Linked DNA regions of Danio rerio. The protein of the gene in region 2 purifies or fractionates together with the protein of the main gene of each other region. This does not show direct contact. Links are inferred from orthologs where the notes say so. Each region holds a gene or a part of one and is shown on either strand. Other genes may lie near its edges. The genes, in order: armc8 and ranbp10.

Region 1 (4,332 bases), on a different chromosome or scaffold from region 2:
CTTCAGCCGTTTGCATTTCCCGTGGTCATAAAAGCTCCTTCCCTGTCATCTGACAGCGGAATACCTTGAGTGATTGACAGCTAATATGAACCAATATAGCGGCAGGGAAGAGCGATTCAGCACGTTTTTACAAAAAATCAAAACAGGTCGCACTACAACCATCTGCAGTCGCACTAATGCGCCCAAATATGTTATGAGGTCGCATAGATTAATTTTCAGGCGCATATGCGACCAAAATGGTCGCAATTTCAGCTTCAAATGTTGTAACAAGCACGTCTGAAATGAGCCCGAATTTCTGTAGATTCAAAACAGTCAGCACGGATATCCCCGCCTCTTAAAGGAGCAGTACTAAATTACAAAGGGCTCAAAAATAGTCTTCTGGCGCCATCTCGTGGACACTCTGACACGCTTTGAGTCTGAATTTTACAAATTTAATATAAAAAAAATATTTATAGGAAAACTGTTATTTATAATTACACCAAATAAATATGATAATTATCTGTAATTTCAAACACATCTTTTGGCCAAATTTGAGGATTGTATACTTTTTTATATGCCCCAAATACTCGATACAATTTTTTAATTAAAAATTTTTTAATTCAAAAACTACAAATCTTATCAGCATGAGGACATACAGCAACCATCTCCTGAGCAAAAGACAGCTTTTGACCAAATTTGGGGCTTGTAGCATCTAAGCCCTGGGAGGAGAAGCGATTGCTTTTTTTTGGTCAGAAGCCGGAATAATAATAATAATAAGAATAAGTTTAAGTAGCATTACAGTATGTTGGCTTTCTCAAGCCAACATAATAATAAGAATAAGTTTAAGTAGCATTACAGTATGTTGGCTTTCTCAAGCCAACATAATAAGTCTGACTTCAACTGTATATATATATATATATATATATATATATATATATATATATATATATATATATATATATATATAATAATTATTATTAATAATAATAAGATTATTATCATTATCATCATCATCATCATTATTATTAGTATTATCATTATTATTAATATTATTATTATTATTATTAATGAAGATGAAAAGATTGTGAATGTTTAATCATTGTTATTTCAGTATTTTGTGTGATTTTTAAAAAAAGTATTAATGCCTTTCTCCTATTATTGTTCAAGCATTTGTTAATAAAAATAGGGAACTAATCAATAAAACTTAAAGTCATAAAAGTCAGAAAGCCAAAAAGTTATAGGAACCATAAATATTATGTACATGTCATGTTATGTTCATATTTATTATGTTATATGATATATATTTTGTGCAGAACTCCTTAGATCCCGGAATCCAGTGGTGTGGAAAGTGCTGGTGGGAACGTTCTGCTGGATAAGGTTGTAACGAAAGTGCCGCTGTAAATAGTCTGCTGACTGAGCTACGTTCGTGTGGAAAGTGCCGCTGTGAATATTCCGCTGAGTTAATGATGGCGTGCCTGTTGGAGGCCCCTTTACGCATCAGCGTGTTATCTGTGAGTCTCTTTGGTTATTCCTTTTAAAAACTCACATTTTCACTTCATGGTTTTTCAGATATACACTACACACATTACATAGACCTTAGCGGTTAATCTTAACTTCACCGGTGTGGCTTTTCTGATGACTGCTTGTCTGTTTATGTGGCTAACAGCAGATCTGGATGGGCTCAGAGCTGTCAAATCAAAGTTATATTTAGTTTTCTATCTATATTTAGAGCCTCGGCTTCAAAAACAAAATCAAACCTGCTCGATACTGTCTGATGAAGTGCTTAAGGGATGATCTGATGGGCAAATGTGCTGGAAACGCCCCCCTTTTGACAGCCCTGTAGTTTGTGTCCAGTGTGTTTTGACACATGTTGATCTGCACTCATTGTGGTGGGACACCGGTGCAATGATGAGATCACCTGTCAATACTGTGGTACCTGTACAGAGTAAAGATTAAAAATAGTGATTATCATTCTTAACCGGTTATTAAGAAGTACTTCAGTGGTAGTGTAGAAAAGTATGGTGTTACTATGATTCCTTTTGGAGGTGACCTCTTTTAAAAACTAGCTTTCATGTTTTGTTTGAATTGAGGTAAAGTTGGTTTTATATTCGTTTATATATCGCTCCTTATTGTTTACCACTTCATTGAATATTCACTCTGAAACCAATGTAAGTATGACTTCAAAACAGCATTGACACTATTTGATTGGCTATAGACCATTACAATGTGGTGATGTCATTGGTTCATGAACATTCCCTGCTTGTTATCAAACTAATTAATAACTGTAACAAGAGGTAATTCACTCATAACTTAGTGTCAAAACAGCTATTATAACATTATTTATCAATATGTGGCTCTTTTTGGATTCTCGGAAGCTATATACATTAAAAATGTAACACAGGAAATATGTTTGGACCATTGTTTTTGTTTACATCCTTCAAAATGGTCTATAAACAGTGTTGTACTTTGATAGTTGTTGAGAGCTAATATGATTGCATTTTTTAGAAATTATATTATTAAGGAGAAAGCCAGAATGTGTCAATATAAAACCAACTTTAGCTTAGTCTTTTTTAGGGCTGCACAATATATAGTTTCAGCATCAATATCGTGATCTGAGCATTCGTAATATTCGCATCACAGGATCTTCAATGCTGAGTCTGGATTATATTAGTTTATTTTGTATTAAATATTTTTTGAGGCCTGTGATGATTTTAAAAGCAATCAGACCTAAGAAATTGTACTGTTTGTAACTTAAAATGATTAGCTAATAATAAATAATTTTATTGAACTGTTATATAGCGAAGACTATGCCGTATTATTTTACATTTGATTCTTCAATAACTATATGCAGTCCTCAGCATAATTAAGTGCACCCCATTTTTGAAAATGAACATTTTTATACATTAGTGAATATAAACAATGTATTTTGGTATGTTTAAATAAAACAGATTTATTAAACAGATATATTTATTCAAATAATATTTTAATCAACAAACATATTTAGAAATTGAAAGATTATACAATTACATTCAAGCAAAATATTGCAAAAAAAATTAAAAATAAAAATAAAATTACAACCTACAAAATTTCAACAGAATTTTTAACTTTTTTTCAATTATAGATATTATTTTTCTATAACGTACATTTGGGTGTACTAGTTTTTGGACCGTTATCGTCAGTTATTTTGTTAGATAAGCTCCAGATTTGGCTTTAGTGCTGACTAATCTAATGTATATGCACAATTATAATATAACTTCCTATTAAAAATATGAATTTAAAAGATAGATTTGTGAGGGGTGTACTTGTATATGCTGAGAACTGCACCTGAACAGTGTTAAGACATCATGGAAAACAATAAAACATTTTATTTTATTTATTCTTTTTCTTTATTGAATGTATCTATAATTGTAGATTGTCAATTACATGTTTTGCAGATGCACTCTCTTAAAGAATCATGTAAAAAATCATGTATAAATTATTTCCAAATAGAGATATTCAAATCATCTTGTGAAATTGTGTTCATATCGTACACACACATACACACACATATATGTAGGTTAGATTTTTCCAATACCGTGCAGCCTAGTTTTGTATAGTATCTTCTTTTCTGTTCTCAAATGTTTTTAATGTTCTTCTCTAATTTAATCAAATCAGTAGAGTGATACTGTTAAAGCGTTAACTCTTTGAAGTATGATGAATAAATGCTCTTATCAGAAAGTCAAGTTATTATTGTGCATATCAACACAGTTTCTGTTCACAGTGTTCTTATTATTTATGATTTACACCTGAGGTCTCTGAGACGCCCATAAGAATTTTGAAAATTTTATCAGCATAGTGATATTTCTGAATTCTTGTCATGATGTCATTTATTGTCGTATTACAAAACTGCAAGGCATTCAGACCCTAAACAGATGACAAGAGCACGTGTTTTGGCCTACATTCCATCCCACACTTTAACCAATGTCAGATAAATGTTAATGTTTATGTAAGAAGTGCAGCCTAAATGCAATGACCTCTAAAATGACAGCCACATAACTCTTTAGGGCTGGGTAATCAGAGTTAGACATAATGCTTATCCCATAATTATCCCACATCATTCAAATGCATTGTTGCAGTGTGTTTAAAGCTCATTTTGTGCTGGAACAAGTTTTGTTGGTGCCTTCTACAAGTCAGTGTGAATTTTTGAGCTGTTGGAAATACTGGTAGGTAAATGCAGTTTTTAAAAATAATTTTTTTATTTGATGTGTGAATGTTATGCTTAGCTTTTTTTCGAAGTGTATTTTTTTCATAATTCTTTTCATGAATAATATTATTAATAATAATAATTATTATTATTATTAGGGCTTGGTTATT
Region 2 (3,835 bases):
CTGGGTGCTTTTAAAAACTACACACTCTACCTAGACTTACAAAAGTTTCCAGTCTCTGTCTCCTTGCAACCTTGGATAAAAACATTTAATAGGCTGAATAATAGAGGAGCTCAATTAAGTGTCTCTCAAGGGAGAAGGACAGAGAATCAGACGAAGAGCAAGTCACAGCTCAATCAAGAATGAACAGGGGCTAAAAACAATAAAAATAATAAAGTCAGTTAAATATGTCCTGTACCGGCTACTCCATTGCCGACACTGTTGTCATCCGCCTGCAGGATTTCCTGGTGTTTGTATGTGCCGTTCATAATGCGAGTTGAGCTTTCTGTCACACCATTGCTGTAATGTTCTGCCTCAATCTCCATCTCACTATCACTGTCAATGCACAAAACAAACACAAGTCAAGACAAGATTCCGAATTTATATTTTGGCATCCAAATCCATATTCAGTTTTTCTGTTTCAAAGTCAAAACCACAACCACCAACACAAATCAGTAGAAGCACAGATCTAGTCTCCTGGTTGCTGGGGGCCATTATATAACATGTGCCTAAAGGTAAGGCAAAGGTGCCAAACTCAAATGAAGTTGGGGGATGGGTCTGTGAAAATATTGGAATTTGTTTAGTTAATTCTTAATGACATTAACCATTTTTTTGGTTTATTCCTGGCCTCTTCCACCTTGCGGTGTAGAGGCTGATCAAAGTTTTTGCCACCTTTTCCTGTCTGTGGCCACTGTTCTGACGCAGTTTGGGTCTACTTCTCTTTTTTGGAATGCTGGGGTAAGCGAGTCCATCCAATTCATTCAAGGCCTACCTCTTTCCTTGGGTTCTTGCCTCTAGCGTCTGCTTTGGAACCCTGTGGTTTTCATCCTGACAACATGACCAAACCACCTCATCTTATGCCTGTCAATTATTTCAATCAGTGCTTCGACTTGTAGGTTTGTCCTAATGGTCTGGTTCCTTACCTGGTCTCTACGAGTTTTGGCAGAGACTTGTCTAAGGTACCGCATCTTCATCGCCTGCAATCTGTTGTTCCTGCAGCTAGTAAGTGGCCAAGACTCACACCCGTAGGAAAGAGTAGGCACATAGGTGGAGTTATAAACAGCTAGCTTTGTTCTGGTGGAGATTTCTCATTCCCAGAAAGGCTCTGTTTAAAGCGTGATATAGTCTGCCAGATGCGGCAACCCTCACTTTGAGATCCTTATGAAGTCTCTCATTCTCACTTAACACTGTTTCAATGTATCTGAATTCTTCTAGGGCTGTGCAATTAATCCAAATTCAGTTTTGATTTTGGCATCTAACAATTAAGAAAAAACATTCATTCATAAAGAGTTTGTGTTGTTGTGGGTGTGCGCTCAGAGACGAGCAGAACACACACATCTAACGTCATCTTAATGTGAGTGCTTTAATGGTCAAATACATGCAAATTTGTGTCAAAACGTGGTGTGATTACTCATATTAACCCTCATTTATGTAATAAACAAACAGGTTGAGAAATAAGACATGTGAAAGTAAAACAGTAGATCAGTAGAGCGTAGTCCTCTTAAAGTGACAGCACGCAATATTCCTGCTGCTGACTGTTTTTATCATTAATCAAACAACAAAATAACAAACTCACTCATTGCTCATGACTGAAGGACTTATGTAGCTTTAATTAAAGTTTTTTCTTACAGTAAAGAACGATGCATAAAGAACAGCTTGTTTCATTTTTTTTCTATTGTACTTATTTCCCTTACTTACGTCAGAATTATAAGCGGCCCTTTACATTTTCCCCTAATTTCTGTCTAACAGAAAGAAGAATATTTTCAACTCATTTCTAAACATAATAGTTTTAATAACTCATTTCTAATAACTGATTTCTTTTATCTTTGCTATGATGACAGTAAATAATATTTTACTACATATTTTTCAAGATACAAGCATTGAACTTAAAATGCATCTCAAAGGCCTAACTAGGTTAATTAGGCAAGTCATTGTATAACAGTAGTTTCTTCTGCAGATAATCAAAAAATGCTTAAGGGGGTTAATAATATTGATCTTAAAATAGTTTTACAAATAGTTATCCCTGCTTTTCTTCTAGCCAAAATAAAACAATTAAGACTTTCTCCAGAAGAAAAAATATAATAGGAAATACTGCGAAAACCTTCCTCTGTTAAACATCATTTGGGAAATATGTATTTATTTAAAAAAAAAAAATCACAGGAGGGGAAATAATTTTGACTTCAACTGTATATCGTTTTGAATAATTGGGATTACAATTACGACCAAAATAATTGTGATTATGATTTTTCCCATAATCAAGCATTATTAAAGCAGACATTATGTTGTATACTTGTAGCTCCTCAAAATTTTCCATCCTAGAATTCCATCTGAAATTGTATTTAACTTTCTAACCAATTTTTTTTAATTATTATTTTATATCAGTTTGTATAACCCCCTGGGGTGAATTAGTTTTTATAGAAAATCATTATTCTTTTAGGACTTGCTCAAGAATGTGCAAATCCCGGACGAGCCCCCACATTTTTGTTAAGGCCCAGTCTAGTGGCAACATGGAGAAAAATAAACTATGAAAATCACATTAGAAAAATGCATAGTGTTCTTTTCTTTACTGTCAATGACAAACACAACGAAAAAAAAAAACATCCACACACAGACCTAGTCTCCTGGTTGCTGGTGGCACTGTGAGGCTGGGACTTGGTTGAGTCGGTGGAGTTGGACTCAGAGTAGTTGACGGAGGAGGGAGAGGAGGATGGAGAGGAGGATGCAGAGCTTATGCCTGTGTATTTGTTGTGGCTCTTATTTTTGTTTGGAGGAGTGACCCCGTTACTGCATGTGGGACTGTCTGCGCCTGAGCCACGAGAAGAGATACACACATTGGAAAGTATCATAAGGAAAAGTGTGAATGAAAGTACATTCATTTTAATCAATATAAATCACCCAAAGTGCAGCACAGGTGGAACAAACGACAGGATGAATTATCTGTTTTGCATCTTTTATAAATGTTACTCATGATCAGATCCACACAGAATCTACACCCACAGAATTATGAATCATCTATGAAACATCTGTTCTTTACTATGTTCTACACAAATATCTAGGATCTTTTAAGTAACGCTTTTAGCTGCTGATTTAAAAGGTTAGCAAGTTAAAAAAGTGTGAATCTCATGAAGACATTATTGAAGCGTGATAGAAGGAAATTCGAAAACTGTTTGTGGAAATAGAATGAAATTAATGAGCCTAAGAAGCCTATTTTTAGGAACAATACAAATATTTGCATTTTTACTATATTGTCTAATAAATGTAATGCATCTCATTCACGTTATTTAATGGGATAAAGTATTAATAAATAATTATTAAATTATATATGCAATTATGTACGGTATTTCTTGAACTGATATCAAACTTAATAAAACGTCTAAAGTTTATAAGGTATGTAAGGTTTAATATAATATTTTAATAATAATAATGACTAAAACTGATTTATCATTAATTGTTTGTAATTGCATACAATTCATTTTAAATTTGCTATATTTGTTATATATATATATATTTATCTATAAATCTATTTGTTATTCGGTAATGATAAGGGCAATTTGTTTTGGCCCTCTAAATACTGCAACCAAGACTTCAAAAATAAAATTAGTTCAGTCGAAAAACGGCCGCTATAGTTATGAAGTGGTGTGCGTCTGTTCAATACAGCACAAGCTGCAGTTAAAGGCTGCGCAGAGAGTGAGTCACTGGACATGTTTGGATATGCTTGCAGAAAATGCCGTATGATACCATTAATAGGGATGCAATGATTAGCAGATTTCACTATTAACCCTCCTTTTGTTCATTAATG

Evidence for each region.
Region 1: the proteins of ranbp10 (region 2) and armc8 purify together in Homo sapiens (affinity purification with mass spectrometry; 5 studies listed by BioGRID and IntAct, with this or other methods). This does not show direct contact. The link is inferred for Danio rerio from reciprocal best matches to the Homo sapiens genes RANBP10 and ARMC8.

The regions. Positions count from the first base shown.
Region 1 is NC_133184.1:29,548,229-29,552,560, forward strand, and holds the start of armc8 (armadillo repeat-containing protein 8), read left to right. Parts: upstream 1-1,438; 5' UTR 1,439-1,445; coding exon 1,446-1,490; intron 1,491-4,332. UniProt on the Homo sapiens protein: Component of the CTLH E3 ubiquitin-protein ligase complex that selectively accepts ubiquitin from UBE2H and mediates ubiquitination and subsequent proteasomal degradation of the transcription factor HBP1.
Region 2 is NC_133193.1:23,393,310-23,397,144, reverse strand, and holds part of ranbp10 (ran-binding protein 10), read right to left. Parts: intron 2,843-3,835; coding exon 2,650-2,842; intron 373-2,649; coding exon 251-372; coding exon of another isoform or gene 236-250; intron 1-235. UniProt on the Homo sapiens protein: May act as an adapter protein to couple membrane receptors to intracellular signaling pathways.